2 linked regions of the Anolis sagrei genome follow. The protein of the gene in region 1 purifies or fractionates together with the protein of each later gene. This does not show direct contact. Links are inferred from orthologs where the notes say so. Each region holds a gene or a part of one and is shown on either strand. Other genes may lie near its edges.

Evidence for each region.
Region 2: the proteins of TICAM1 (region 1) and TLR4 purify together in Homo sapiens (affinity purification with western blotting; 3 studies listed by BioGRID). This does not show direct contact. The link is inferred for Anolis sagrei from reciprocal best matches to the Homo sapiens genes TICAM1 and TLR4.

The regions. Positions count from the first base shown.
Region 1 is NC_090034.1:55,716,584-55,724,257, forward strand, and holds the start of TICAM1 (TIR domain-containing adapter molecule 1), read left to right. Parts: upstream 1-4,550; 5' UTR 4,551-4,794; intron 4,795-4,809; exon of another isoform or gene 4,810-5,052; intron 5,053-7,674.
Region 2 is NC_090031.1:12,183,843-12,192,493, reverse strand, and holds the start of TLR4 (toll-like receptor 4), read right to left. Parts: upstream 3,195-8,651; 5' UTR 3,124-3,194; coding exon 3,025-3,123; intron 1-3,024.

The sequences.
Region 1 (7,674 bases):
GAAAATTCACCTTGATTTGTTGAGAGTTGTAGTTCACCTATAACCAGAGACCACTGTGAACACAAACACCGATGGATCTGGACCAAACCTGGCACATATACCTGATATGCCGAAATTTGAATACTGGAGGGGTTTGGGGGGAACTGACCTTCCTTTCTGGGATTGTAGTTCACCCATAACGAGAGAAACTGTGACCTCCTCTGACGATGGAGTTGGACCAAACTTGACACACAGAACCCCCAAGACTTGAGGGGATGGGGTCACCATAGTGGGAGTTGTAGTTTACCCTGCGGCCACAGAGCACACTGAACCCTACCCATGTTGTATCTAGAGCGAAGTTTTTTGGGGTTAACCTGGCATCCAGCTGGACAGACAATGAGGATGAAAAAGTGGAGCAGGGATTTGTTTCTATAATAAAAGTTTCACCAATACCCATAATGCATTTCTTCCTATGAATAAAAACACTTTGGGATTCATCAAAGCACTGGCGTATTATTCCTCTTTTAATTTCAGTGCACACCTTTCATTCAGCCCGTTCAGACCTGATGAAGACAAGGGATGAAAAGGATCTCTTGACAACAAGTTGGCACAAGAAAACTATGGGTTGAATGCCAGACGTGGGTTTGGCAATGGGAGTTGCAGTCCAACCGGTTTCTTTGGCGTAACCATCCCTCCAAGGGAAGAAGTGTCCAACCGGTTTAGGAGTGTGGATGAAGCACAAAAACAACAAAGACACAGCAAAGTTGCCATTTTGGACTAAAACTCTCATAATCCCCTGCCAGAGTTCGAAACTCTGGGTAATATTTCAGTAGACAAGACCACGAACGTTGGACCTCAGCTTTCAGAAGCCTCCATAGTTGGGGATTATGGGAGCAGAAGTCCAAAACTTTTGGCAAAACAAGTTTCATACAGGTATGGGCAAACCCGGGCCTGGGGGCCGGATGTGGCCCCTTGGGCTCTTTTCTCAGGCCCTCCTCTCTTTCCATCCTATTCTTCCTTCTTTCTCTCTTTTCTTCCTTCTTCCCTCCCTCTTTCTTCTCTTACACCCTTTCATCCTTCCTTCCCTCTTTCCTTCCTCCTTCCCCTTCCATCCTTCCTTTTTGTCTTTCCTTCCTTTTCTTTCCTCCCTCCTTTCCCTCCCTCTTTCTCCTTCCATCCTTCCCTTCTTCGCTTCCTTCCTTCCCACCCTTCCCTTTTTCCTTCCATCCTTCCCTTCCACCCTTTCGTCCTTCCTTCCTTCTCTCTTTCCTTCTTCCTTCCTTCTCTCCCTCTTTCTCCTGCCATCCTTCCCTTCTTCGCTTTCATCCTTCTTTCCCTCTTTCCTTCCTCCTTCCCTTTCCATCCTTCCTTTTTGTCTTTCCTTCCTTTTCTTTCCTCCTTCCTTTCCCTCCCTCTTTATCCTTCCATCCTTCCCTTCTTCGCTTCCTTCCTTCCCTCCCTTCCCTTCCTCTTTTTCCTTCCATCCTTCCCTTTCACCCTTTCATCCTTCCTTCCTTCTCTCTTTCCTTCTTCCTTCCCTCTCTCCCTCTTTCTTCTTCCATTCTTTCCTTCCTCCCTTTTGTCCTCCCTTTTTTCTCTCTTTCCTCCCACTTTCTCTTTCTCCTGCCATCCTTCCCTTCTTCACTTCCTTCCCTTCCCTTCCCTTCCCTTCCCTTCCCTTCCCTTCCCTTCCCTTCCCTTCCCTTCCCTTCCCTTCCCTTCCCTTCCCTTCCCTTCCTCTTTTTCCTTCCATCCTTCCCTTCCACCCTTTCGTCCTTCCTTCCTCCTTCTCTCTTTCCTTTTTCCTTCCCTCTCTCCCTCTTTCTCCTTCCACCCTTTCCTTCCATCTTTTCTCTTTTCATCCTTCCCCTCTCTTTCCTTCATCCTTTCCTTCCTTCCCTCCATCACTGGGCAGCCAGTCCCCCTAGCAGGGAGTGCTGCCGTGTGGCCCCCAAGTTTGCCCAGGCCTGGTTTAATAAATATCGAGCAAGGAAGTGATTGAATGATGGATCGTAAGAACATGAAAAACCAGCCGAAAGCTCAGAACAAAGATCTGGGGAAAGACGCTATTCCGATGGATGCAGCCTAGAATCGCATTGGCCTTTGCTGTTGCTGCATCACACTCTTGACTCTCATGTTTATCTTGCGGTCTACTAACCACTTCATCACATTGAACCAGGACAAGTGTTTGGTAGAGTAGGTCTATCGTAGGTTAATCTCCCCCAAACCCTGCCAGTATTCAAAGTTGGCCAGATTGGGTCTCTGTGTTAAGTGTAATAATAATAATAATAATAATAATAATAATAATAATAATAATCTTTATTTATACCCCGCCACCATCTCCCCAAAGGGGACTCGGGGCGGCTTACATGAGGCCATGCCCATCAGTACAGAAACACAATATAACACAAAAACACAACAGAAAATCAGAAAATAAAATGACATAAAATACAAAAATGCAAAATACAAAATATGCAAAAATGCATAAAATACAAAAATACAGCACAGCAATATAACATCAAAACATTAAACCACTAAAACGAACACAATGAGCAGGGCCAGTACAAAAATTAAAATTTTAAAACACTGGGAGATAGTCCAGATCCGTCCTCGGGGAGTTCAGAGGGCTCACTGGATAAGAGTGAACTACAAGTACAACTCCCATATTCCAAGATCAATTACTCCCCAACCCCCCCCCCCCCCCCTGTATTCACAGTGGGCCGTGTTGGGTCTGTGCTCCAAGTTTAGTCCCGATCCAACATCGACTAGGTTCAGTGCTCTCTGGATGAGGGTGAACTATAACTCCCAAAATATCAAGATCAATTCCCCCTAAACCCCTTCATTATGTTCTGTTGGTCATGGGGGTTCACTGTGCCTAGTATGGTCCTGGTCCATTGTTTGTGAGAGTGACAATATCTCTGGATGAGGGTGAACTATAATTCCCAAAAAATCAAGGTCAATTTCCCCTACACCCCTGCATTATGTTCTGTTGGTCATGGGGGTTCACTGTGCCTAGTTTGGTCCTGGTCCATTGTTGGTGAGGGTCATAATATCTCTGGATGAGGGTGAACTATAACTCCCAAAAAATCAAGGTCAATTCTCCCTAAACCCCTGCATTATGTTCTGTTGGTCATGGCGGTTCACTGTGCCTAGTTTGGTCCTGGTCCATTGTTGGTGAGGGTCATAATATCTCTGGATGAGGGTGAACTATAACTCCCAAAAAATCAAGGTCAATTCCACCTAAACCCCTGCATTATGCTCTGTTGGTTATGGGGGTTCACTGTGCCTAGTTTGGTCCTGGTCCATTGTTGGTGAGGGTCATAATATCTCTGGATGAGGGTGAACTATAACTCCCAAATAATCAAGGTCAATTCCCCCTACACCCCTGCATTATGTTCTGTTGGTCATGGGGTTCACTGTGCCTAGTTTGGTCCTGGTCCATTGTTGGTGAGGGTCATAATATCTCTGGATGAGGGTGAACTATAACTCCCAAAAAATCAAGGTCAATTCTCCCTAAACCCCTGCATTATGTTCTGTTGGTCATGGCGGTTCACTGTGCCTAGTTTGGTCCTGGTCCATTGTTGGTGAGGGTCATAATATCTCTGGATGAGGGTGAACTATAACTCCCAAAAAATCAAGGTAAATTCCCCCTAAACCCCTGCAGTATGTTCTGTTGGTCATGGGGGTTCTCTGTGCCTAGTTTGGTCCTGGTCCATTGTTGGTGAGGGTCACAATATCTCTGGATGAGGGTGAACTATAACTCCCAAAAAATCAAGGTCAATTCCCCCTACACCCCTGCATTATGTTCTGTTGGTCATGGGGGTTCACTGTGCCTAGTTTGGTCCTGGTCCATTGTTGGTGAGGGTCATAATATCTCTGGATGAGGGTGAACTATAACTCCCAAAAAATCAAGGTCAATTCCCCCTACACCCCTGCATTATGTTCTGTTGGTCATGGGGGTTCACTGTGCCTAGTTTGGTCCTGGTCCATTGTTGGTGAGGGTCATAATATCTCTGGATGAGGGTGAACTATAACTCCCAAAAAATCAAGGTCAATTCTCCCTAAACCCCTGCATTATGTTCTGTTGGTCATGGCGGTTCACTGTGCCTAGTTTGGTCCTGGTCCATTGTTGGTGAGGGTCATAATATCTCTGGATGAGGGTGAACTATAACTCCCAAAAAAATCAAGGTCAATTTCCCCTAAACCCCTGCATTATGTTCTGTTGGTCATGGGGGTTCACTGTGCCTAGTTTGGTCCTGGTCCATTCTTGGTGGGGGTTACAGGATGTCTGGATGCGGGTGAACTACATCTCCCAAAAATCAAGGTCAATTTTCCCCAAACCCCTGCAAGATTCCTGGATCCTTTTCCTATGGATTATGACTTCCCTCAGTCTAGATACTATCCTCCTATGGATGCAGCCTAAAATCACATTGGCCTTTGCTGCTGTTGCAGAACATTGTCGGCTTGCAAAGGCTCCTAGAACACATTGACTGCTTTCCAGCCAAATTAGTCTCTGTGCATTGCATTCCTGTGGCCTAAGTGTAATATTGCACATTTCTTCCTGTTGGGAATTCATTGTGTTTGTTTAGGCCCCAGCTCTCCAATCTGTCGAAAGTATTTTGGACTCTCACCCCGTCCTTTGAACCAGGAAACGGGCTCAAAACTTTCAGGAAACTGCTCGGATTCAAGGCCAGACGCTTCCTGTTTCGTTGCTGTGCATGCCCCACCTCGAAGGCCCATACCGCTGGGGGGACTCCCCGCTCCTTCGGCCCCTTTGGCATCTGAAGCCTTGCTGGATTTGTGGCAAAGAGCCAGGTAAGGAGTAGAAGTTGGCAAAAAAGTCACATTCCTCTCTTCGCAGAGGAAGGAAAGAAAAAGCGATTGCCTCGATTCAACCGTGTGCAGCATTACACTTCGGCAATAGAAATACAATGGAGTCTCCTTCCTTCGAGGTTTGTAAGCAGAGGCTGGATGGCCATCTGCCGGGAAGGCTTGGATGGTGTCGTCTGTGAATTGTCACCCTCCCCAAACAGGCCTTCGTCTCCAAGCTACATACAGTCTCCTTCTCTAGAGGTTTGTATGCAAAGGCTGGATGGCCATCTGTCAGGAGGGTTTTGATTGTGTTCCTGCCAGGCTAAAAGGGGATGGATTAGATGGCCCTTGGGGGTCTCTTCCAACTCTAGGATTCAATTATTCCACCACCCTCATTCTCCATGTTTAATGTCTATGAAGTTGGATGGCCATCTTTCGGGAGGGCTTTGATTGTGTTCCTTCCTGGGATAAAAGGGATGGACTAGATGGCCCTTTGGGGTCTCTTCCAACTCTAGGATTCAACGATTCCGCCTGCTTCTTTCTCGATGCATAATGTCTATGAGGCTGGATGGGCATCTGTCAGGAGGGTTTTGATTGTGTTCCTGCCAGGCTAAAAGGGGATGGATTCGATGGCCCTTGGGGGTCTCTTCCAACTCTAGGATTCAATTATTCCATCACCCTCTTTCTCCATGCTTAATGTCTATGAAGTTGGATGGCCATCTTTCGGGAGGGCTTTGAGTGTGTTCCTGCCTGTCATAAAAGGGATGGACTAGATTGCCCTTCGGAATCTCTTCCAACTCTAGGATTCAACAATTCAGTCCGCTTCTTTCTCCATGCATAATGTCTATGAGGCTGGATGGGCATCTGTCGGGAGGGATCGAATGGTGTTGCTCCCTGGCAGAAGGGGGATTGGACTGGATGACCTTTGGAAGTCCCTTTCTAGCATGCTCCTTGTTATATTTGGAACCACACTTCTTTCTGGCTTACCGACATTCCTATCGGTAAGTTTCGGAAAAACTTTCCTACTTCTTGTTTGATACTTTCCTGGTTTAAAAACTTTTCTATTTGGGAAGTAAAGAGTTTGATACTCCCTGGGTTTCTCTTTTCTGCTTCTGGAACTCTCTGCCCTGGAGTGTGGTGGAGGCTCCTTCTTTGGAAGCTTTAAACAGAGGCTGGATGGCCATCTGTCAGGGGTGATTTGAATGCAATATTCCTGCTTCTTGGCAGGAGGTTGGACTGGATGGCCCATGAGGTCTCTTCCAACCCTAGGATTCTATGATTCGGCAATGCATTGCTGATATTGCAATAGACTGCTTTTATGCCATCTGATTTTATCTCATCTAAATAATAGCTTTGCTGTTTATCTTCAATACATTGCACTGAGTAACGCTATTCTTTTAATACGCAAGGGCAGCATGACAATTATTTTAAGTGCAGATTTGGTGCGCTGCTATATCGCCTTGTGCTTATTTTGTATGTCTATTGCCTCAGAGTATCAATAAGCTAATAGAGTGTTTAAACCGTTCATTTTTAAATGTACTTTACTTACGTAGGCGATCCCATGATGGTGTCTTTGTGGTGGGTTCGTAGGTTATTCTTGATACACATTGATACACAGTGAGGACATCGGTTTCCAGGTGGAAGGCGGTCCCGGTCAGGGTTGGCTTGATGCGCCTTCTTCCTCTTGGCACATTTCTCCCTTTCACCTTCCATTCATGCCTCTTCGAATTCCGCAGCACTAGTGGTCACAGCTGACCTCCAGTTAGAGCCCTCAATGGCCAGGGCTTCCCAGTTCTCGGTGTCTATGCCACAGTTTTTAAGGTTGGCTTTGAGCCCATGTTTAAATCTCTTTTCCTGTCCACCAATGTTACATTTCCCATTCTTGAGTTGGAAGTGTAATAACTGCTTTGGGATGGGATTGTTGATGGGAAGTTTCCCACCGGAGTGGAAATCATCTATCTGACAGATGGCAAGCTATTCAAACTCAGCAGACTGAAAGCCAAAACCAAGGTTACAACAACATCTGTTATAGAACTCCAGTATGCTGATGACAATGTCGTCTGTGCGCATTCAGAAGAAGATCTACAAGCCACTCTAAACACCTTTGCAGAAGCATACGAGAAGCTCGGCTTGTCATTGAACATTGAAAAAACCAAAGTGCTGTTCCAGCAGACACCAGCCAACCCCTCCCCAATGCCAGAGATACAGCTTAATGGTGTAACATTAGAAAATGTTGATCATTTCCACTACCTTGGCAGCCACCTCTCCACCAAAGTCAACATCGACACCGAAATACAACACTGCCTGAGCTCTGCGAGCGCAGCATTTTTCCGAATGAAGCAGAGAGTGTTTGAGGACCGGGGCATCCGTAGGGATACCAAGGTGCTTGTTTATAGAGCTATTGTCCTCCCAACCCTGCTATATACCTGCGAGACGTGGACTGTCTACAGACGTCACATGCAACTCCTGGAACGATTCCATCAGCGCTGCCTCCGGAAAATCCTGCAAATCTCTTGGGAAGACAAGCGGACAAACGTCAGCGTGCTGAAAGAAGCAAAGACCACCAGCAATGAAGCAATGGTCCTCTGCCATCAACTCCGCTGGACCGGCCATGTTGTCCAGATGCCCGACCACCGTCTCCCAAAGCAGTTGCTCTACTCCGAACTCAAGAACGGAAAACAGACTGTTGGTGGACAGGAAAAGAGATTTAAAGATGGGCTCAAAGCCAACCTTAAAAACTCTGGCATAGACACTGATAACTGGGAAGCCCTGGCCCTTGACCGCTCCAGCTGGAGGTCAGCTGTGACCAGCAGTGCTGCGGAGTTTGAAGAGGCACGAATGGAGGGCGAAAGGGAGAAGTGTGCCAAGAGGAAGGCGCGTCAA
Region 2 (8,651 bases), on another chromosome or scaffold:
TATCAAGAGTAGGCCTAGTGAAATAATTGGGTTACATGTTAGTTAAGACAGACATAATATCACTACTGACCAAAAGGTCATGAGTTCAAAGCCAGCCCGGGTCGGAGTGAGCGTCCGACCAATTTGTGTAGCTTGCTGTCGACCTTTGCAGCCCGAAAGACAGTTGCATCTGTCAAGTAGAAAATTTAGGTATCACTTATGCAGGGAGACTAATTTACGACGCCATAAAAATCTCCAGCAAGCATCAATATTTAATACTGATATTGTACAGGGTTAGTCAAAATGAATAGGCCAATAAGAAAATTAATTGTACCCGAATGTATGTTTACTGTAACCAAACCACAGCTACGTAGCGACAGATAAACTATCAAAGTTTTTTTTGAGCAACACACATGTACGTTAATGCCGCTAGGCGTCGCTAGGAGTCGCTGTTTTCAAAATGGCGGAATCAGGCAAAGAGAAGGCGTTTTGTGTGATGACATTTGCTAAAACAATGTCAGTAATTACGGTCCAGCGAGAATTTTGAGCCAAGTATGGCAAGGAACCACCTCATCGACATTCCATTGCGAGGTGGGTAAAGCAATTTGAGGAGACGGGCTGCTTATGCAAGGGTAAAACCACAGGACGACCGCGTGTGCTGCATTCGATGCCATTACGTCGGATGTGCTGCAACGGATGTGGAATGAACTGGACTATCGCTTGGACGTCTGCCGTGTCACACGGGGCACCCATATCGAACATCTCTGAAGGTGAGACAAAACTTTGATAATTTATCTGTCGATACGTAGCTGTAGTTTGGTTACAATAAACATACATTCGTCTAAAATTAATTTTCTTATTGGCCTATTCATTTTGACTAACCCTGTATTATGCTAATAATATAATATATTATATGCATATATATATTGTAAGATGCTCTGATTCCCCTTTGAGGTGAGGAGGGCGAAATATAAATGCAATAAATAAATAAATAAATAAATAGTTGATATCAATAACTGGGCCTATGTGCAGAAACTCTTAAACTATATCTTCAGCTTTACTGTTCACTTGTAGATTACCTTTGCCAATGGCTATTTTATAAAAATATTCAGCTAAAAGGGGTGAAAAAAATCCACCAGCTTTCAGATACATTTCAAAGGCTATCGGAAGGAAACAAGGAGAGTTTTAAGAGAGGACCAGAAAAGCAATTACAACTTGTGCAAGATCTGTGTTGTCTTTGCAGTCTGGGTGTGATCCTGGATTCATTGCTGAGCCTGGAACCCCAGGTCTCGGCGGTGACCAGGGGAGCATTCGCACAATTAAAGCTTGTGCACCAATTGCGCCCGTACCTTGGGAAGTCTGACTTGGCCACAGTAGTCCATGCTCTTGTTACATCCCGTATAGACTACTGCAATGCTCTCTACGTGCGGTCAGAGGCAGCCATAGGTAATTTTCAACGGTAAGCAAACAGTATTTTGGTGCCCCCCCCCCCAACGAATCATTGATATATATTTTCTGTTTGTCGTGGGAGTTCTGTGTGCCATATTGGTTCAATTCCATCATTGGTGGAGTTCAGAATGCTCTTTGATTGTAGGTGAACTATACATCCCAGTAACTACACTTGCCGCATTTGCTCCCTTGCCTGGCCTGCTTTGGGTCCGGAGGCGTGTCTGAAGACCCCGGCGTGTGTACCAAAAGTCACCTCTTCTCCTGACTTTCTCCTCAGCCATTGGGACCGAGAGAGAGAGAGAGAGAGAGAGAGAGAGAGGTGGAGATGCCCACCTTTCCTGAAGGTAGGCGCAAAAACAAAGGAGGAAGCGGAGGTGGGAGATACCTCCAGCCGGAGGGGCTCCCCCCCCTCTCTCTCTTGGTCCCAATGGCTGAAGAGAAAGTCAGGAGAAGAGGCGACTTTTGGTGCACACACTGGGGTCTTCAGACACGCCTCCGGACCCAAAGCAGGCCAGGCACGGCAGCTCCACCCCTTGGCCCACCTGCGGATTCGGGAGAGGAGAGGAGGCGGGTGGAGCGCCGGGGGATTGGGAAAGGGAGCCGGGCATGGGGAAGGGATCGAATGCGGAGAACGATTGAGCGCCAGCTCTGCTCACGCACCCACTGGCCGGGTGGAGCAGGAACGAGAGGGGCTAGGCGAGGCTCAAGAGCCCGGCCCCTTTGGGAAGAGGATCGCCTGGCAGCGAGGCAAGAAAGCTGAGGTCCCATCCCCCCGGACTGCTAGGGCTGTTGTGAGCTGAGGGGGTGCTCCTCAAGTGGCAGTCGAGGGGCATTTACAGGAGCCTCTGCACCCCTGGCAAAAAAAAAGTGTTCTGCGACTGCTTACTTCTAGTAATGGACAAGCCGCCCCTGCGTGCGGTTGCCTTTGAAAACTGTCCGGAAGCGTCAACTGGTCCAATGGACAGCAGCCAGATTGCTAACTGGAGCGGCTCTCAGGGAGCATACAACCGCCTTGTTGCGCCAGCTCCACTGGCTGCCAGTTCGCTACCGGGCACAATTCAAAGTGCTGGTTCCAACCTATAAAACCCTAAACGGTTCTGGCCCAACTTACCTGTCTGAACTATCTCCCCTTATGAAGCAACTAGGACCTTGAGATTGTCCGGAGAGGCTCTGCTCTCAGCCCTGCCTTCGTCACAGGTACGTTTGGCGGGGACAAGAGACAGGGCCTTTTCAGCGGTGGCTCCCCGGCTATGGAACACCCGCCCCAGAGAGATTAGATCTGCTCCCTCCCTCTTAATGTTTCGGAAGCAACTCAAAATGTGGCTGTTTGAGCAAGCGTTCACAAACACAGAGTAATGGATACAAACAAGTGACATAGGAACGGATAACTGACGATGGAACTGGACAATGCTTGACAGTAAGGAGAAGCCAATGATGTTGTTTTTATTGCTGTTGTGATTCATGTAATTTTAATTGTTTTAAAATTGTATTATGATACTATGTATACTGTTTTGTTGGAAACCGCCTTGAGTTGCCGATAGGCTGAGAAAGGCAGTATACAAATACAGTAAATAAACAAACTTCTCATTGACCTACCTCCAAACAGGGATTGAGGCAGCTGGTTCTCCACTGGGACCAAAACAGCACCAGCAAAGGGAAGAACATCTGTGGGCAGAGGGCACCACCCCTGGGCATCTTCAAGCTAACAACATGAGGAAGAAAGGAGAAATAAGCAGGAAAGAGAGATCGAAAATCCAGCAGACAAACACTTGCTTCGTCATGTAAGGCAGGCCAAGATCCTAGGAGAACGGGCAAATCTACACACAGCAGGAGAAGGAAGTGCAATTGAAAAAGAAAGAAAAAAGCAAACCGGAGGTTGTCCCTGGTGCAAGATCTATGTTGCCTTCTGGTAAACGGAGGTCTAGAAAGGCATGCTGTAGTTGACTGCAGGGCAAGAGGAAGTTCAGTCTTGCCATATGAGTTCCTCTTTTTGGTCAGACGGACTTAAAACCGTACGTTATACAGAATTCTGTGATTCTGCCCTCTGTTGTTTCTCTCTTTCTTTCTTTCTTGCCTCCTTCCTTCCCTTCCTTTCCAACTTCACTTGAGGAAAGCCAGTCATGTATGCAGTTCTTACTTCTGATGAGAGTACTTAGCACAGTGTTTTTCAACTTTCCGAATGCCGTGACCCCTTAATACAGTTCCTCATGTTGTGGTGACTCCCAACCATAACATTATTTTCGTTGCTACTTCATAACTGTCATTTTGCTACTGGCATGAATTGTAATGTCAATATCTGATATGCAGGATGTATTTTCATTCACTGGACCATATTGGGCACAAATACCCAATACGCCCAAATTTGAATACTGGTGGGGTTGGGGGGAGTGATTTTGTCATTTGGAGTTGTAGTTGCTGGGATGTATAGTTCACCTACAATCAAAGAGGATTCTTAACTCCATCAACGATGGAATTGAACCCAATATGGCACACAGAACTCCCACAGCCAACAAAAAACTGGGAGGATTTGTTGGGCATTGACCTTGAGTTTGGGAGTTGTAGTTCACCTACATCCAGAGAGCACTGTGGACTCACACAAAGATGGATCTGGACCAAACTTGGCACAAATACCCAATACGCTGTAATGTGAACACTGGTGGAGTTTGGGGGAAATAGAACGTGACATTTGGGAGTTGTAGTTGCTGGGATTTATACTTCACCTACAATCAAAGAGCATTCTGAACCCCACCAACAATAGAATTGGGCCAAACTTCCCACACAGAATGCCCATAACCAATAGAAAATACTGTGTTTTCTGATGGTCTTTGGTGGCCCTTCTAACCCCCGCTTGCAACCCGCCCAGAGGTCCCGACCCCCAGTTGAGAAACGCTGACTTAACAGGTCAACTGGATTCACCTACATGTTGACTCACTATTGATTAGGCTTGTACATTTTGGGTGAATCACTATCCATTTCTGCTTACTAGAAGACCACCATATTTGTTTTCAAGTGCCTCCCGAATGGGGGCTTTCATTCCGCATTAAAAAAAAATGGTTCTTCCAAGCTGCTGAATGGGCATTTTCATTCCGCATCCAAAAAAAAACACCACAAAAAAACAAACCAGCTCTTTTTGGCCCATTAATGGCAATGGGGAATTTATGGAGGCACCCCACTCACCATCCCTCAGGTCCACAACTCCCAGTCAGACCCACTAAATAAAAAGAATCAGGAAAATAAAAATAAAAAAGATTCAACTGTGATGCTGAATAGGGAAGGAGGAGGGAGCAGAGATCAGCTCCCACTTGCTTTTGTTTCAGGTGGGTTTTTGTACTAGGAGGACCCTTACCGTTACATACTCCCGGAGATAGCGAAGGACATGCAATCCATGCACAACCCTACTATTTGTCAATTTATTCACTGCTCTAGTTGGGATTAACAACAATGATATAACTACTGAATGACCTTGGGCAAACCATGGTTTAGCAGTCCCAGGTGAAAGCAAGAACAAAGCCTTTCTGAACAAATCTACCCAAAAAAAACTCCATGATACGATGATCTTTGGGCCCTGTGTGTCATGTTTTATGTTCTGCAGTTGATGGTGGTTGGTGATGGAAGGGTTAATGTAAGCATTAGTTCTAAAGGGTTAAGTAATCTGTAAGTAAGAGTTCATGGTTGAAAGCAATTAGGGGTTTAGGTATGTAAGAGATGGGTTGCAGCTGGGTGTTTCTGGATATAAGGAGCTAGCCTTGGGACTGATCTTTGGGCGAATAGTATTTGTTTTGTCTTGGTGGTAGATGCTGTTGGTTTTCCCCCAGGTTTGTGGCTTTTTGGTGTCCTGATCTGACTCCTGAACCTTTAGAATCCTGGAACCTTGAATCTTTGGACTGGCTTTTGACTACGGTATACTCTTGATCCCTGGACTTTGTTTATTAAACTCTCGGCGTTTGACCACTGGACTGGACCTTTTGACTATGAAGTTATCTTGAACCTGCAACAGTGTTTGCTGTTTTTGTTTTATATTCTGTGGCTGAGTACAATCTTTATGTTTTATATTTTGGACTATTAAAACAGCCAGAAAATAAGTGTGTTTTAATTAAACTGCTTGATATAAACTGGGTATTTGTTTGGTTCATCTCTACCTAAATAATGGCAGAGCCCTGGCATCGTGACACTGTGAAGGATGGAAGAGATCACAGGGGACAACTAGTCCAGCCCCTGCCATTGCAGGGATACACAAGGCCAGCAATAAAGAGAAGAAGGAGAGTTTAATTTTGATTGAGCTTATAAGCAGATAAGAAAACTAGAGCAGAACTCCAAGAAACTAGGGCTAGACTCCCTTCTCAATTATGGAAACTCACTGGATAACCATGGGTGATCCACAAGCTTTGCCAGATAACACAATTTCAGACTTCCCTTGAATAAATCATGTAAAGGAAATCCCATCATAGCTTCACTTCAAGTTCTCCACAAGTCAACGACAAACTGAAGACATACAGCAAGTAGCCAGCAAGCAAATCTACCTAAATCATTTTTCCAGAACAAATATGTGGATTAGGACACATCCTTGTCTCAGGTACCCCTTGATTTGAATCAAGATGCCCATTCCTGTTGTTTATTTCTTAAAGGCAGTATAGCTAATGAGTCTGAGAAACACCCCATGAACACATATAGTACTTTTAAAAACCCCACAGATGCTTCCAATCAGCAAGCAAGCAGCAATTACATTAAATGGAAGACAACAGGCCAAATGAAATGCAGTCAATTGGCTACCAGAGAATGCTCTCAGTAACTCTCAAGAGCATTGGTGCACGCTTTCACGCTTACAGAGCAGCATGTAGTAACTTTGCAACCACTTTGTTGAAGTGTCACCCCATTCCCAGTTGACTCTTGCTTGAATGCATGAATGCATGAATGGCCATGCAGGGAGGGAGCAGGGTCACATTGGGATACCACCATTCAGTGTCTGAATCTCAGGAGGAACCTCAGAGATGCCATGTTCGGATTGTGATATTCCATATGCTTCCTCCAAAACCAGTGGTTCTCAACCTTTCTAATGCCACGACCCCTTAATACAGTTCCTCATGTTGTGGTTACCCTCAACCATAACATTATTTTCGTTACTACTTCATAACTGTAATTCTGCTACTGTTATGAATAGTAATGTAAATATCTCATATGCAGGATGTATTTTCATTCACTGGACCAAATTTGGCACACATAAACAATACGTCCAAATTTGAATATTGGTGGGTTGGAGGGGGATTGATTTTGTCATTTGGGAGATGTAGTTAATGGGATGTATAGTTAACCTACAATCAAAGAGCATTCTGAATTCCACCAATGATGGAATTGAAACAAACTTGGCACACAGAACTCCCATGACCAACAGAAAATACTGGAAAGGCTGCTGGGCATTGACCTTGAGTTTGAGAGTTGTAGTTCACCTACACCCAGAGAGCACTGTGGACTCAAACAATGATAGATCTGGACCAAACTAGGCAGGAGTACTCAATATGCCCAAATGTGAACACTGGTGGAGTTTGGGGAAAATAGACATTGACATTTTAGCGTTGTAGTTGCTGTGATTTATAGTTCACCTACAATCAAAGAGCATTCTGAACCCCACCCATAATAGAATTGGGCCAAACTTCCCACACAGAACCCGTATGACCAACAGAAAATATTGTGTTTTCCTATGGTCTTTGGTGACCTCTCAGTCACCCCCTCATGACCCCCTCCCCAGGGGTCCCGACAACCAGGTTGAGAAACACTGTCCTAAACACATAGTATACATCTTGTAGGGCTGGGCGGTTTCGTTCGTTAATTTCGTAATTCATTATTAATTCTTTTTTTTTATAACGAAGTGATATTGAACCATTCAGGAGCAACTAAAAATCGAAACGAATTTTTAAAATTTATTTCGCAATTGTTTCGTAATTGTTTCGTAATTGTTTTGAAATTGTTTCATTATTATTTCGTTATTATTTCCGTATGTCTGGTGCAAGCTTTATGGTTGTTTGTTTTATCAGTGATAAAAAATAAATTATCACACCAACAGTCAACAACAGAGGGAGAGGGAAGCTTCAGAAGTTCCCCCTGTCCCATTTGGTGGTTTTTTTTAGCGTATTGCGCAATCGCATCCGCCATTAACGAATCGATTCGTTATTGTTTCAAAATTGTTTCGTAATTTCCAAAATTTCGTAAATATCGAACTTTTTTAAAGAAAAATTTTGGAATTCTTTTAAATAACGAAACGCAAAAATCGCCTAAAAACGAATCGAGTTTAGAAACAAATTTTTCCGTGGTTGGACAGCCCTAACATCTTGCACTGGAAAATAGACTTGTGCATTTGGGATAAACCTTGATCTCGACTTTTGGTGGGGGGGGGGGGGCTGTTCCATTTCTTGGGAGCCTTCCAAAATCAAGAGGGCAGATGTTTTTGCTCTGTGGTCCTGAAAGATTTGTTTTCTATCAGTCCCTTATGGAGGGAGCTTTCCAGGCTCCCCTTCCTGTCATTTTAGGCATTTATGCTGTTTTTTTTTACTCTAGAGGAGGTACTCAGCTGCAGGCAGGCACACATTTTAAGGATGCTTCCTACTTGTTTCTTACTCTAGAGGAGGCACTTGGTTGCATGCAGGCACATGTACTTTCTGGGTCTGCTGCATGCCACATGCAGTTTCCAAGGCAAGGAGACATATTCTCTGCTTCTTACTCTAGAGGAAGTACTCAGCTGCAGGCAGGCACGCACACCCTAATCTCCAGGATCTTGGAAGACCTTTGGTTGGATCACTGCCAGGTGGAGAGGAAAAGGGGTCATATTTGTTTATTTGTTTATTTGTTTATTTATCTATTTATTTATTTATTTATTTTGTATACAAAGCATTGCATAAATTAGTATAACACTGATAAAAATAGAAGGCGCACAGGTGCATAAATATCTTTTGACCAAAAACGAGCAACAGCAATGGCATTGTCTGTAGCCTCCAACAATTATTCCTCTGTACATGAGGCAGGGCACAGTGGACAAGCATACAGATGCAGAGTTGTCAGTTCTGCTCCAGAGTCACACAAGGATTGGTATTCTTTTAGGTAGTGCCATTTGGCCAGGTTGTCTTTTGTTCTGTCCACTCCACTTCTGAGTCTATTCAGGGACTTCCAAGTTGCCCATTCTTGGGTTGCCCCTGGAGGAAGACACTCTCTTGTGGGGGGGGGGGGGCATCCAG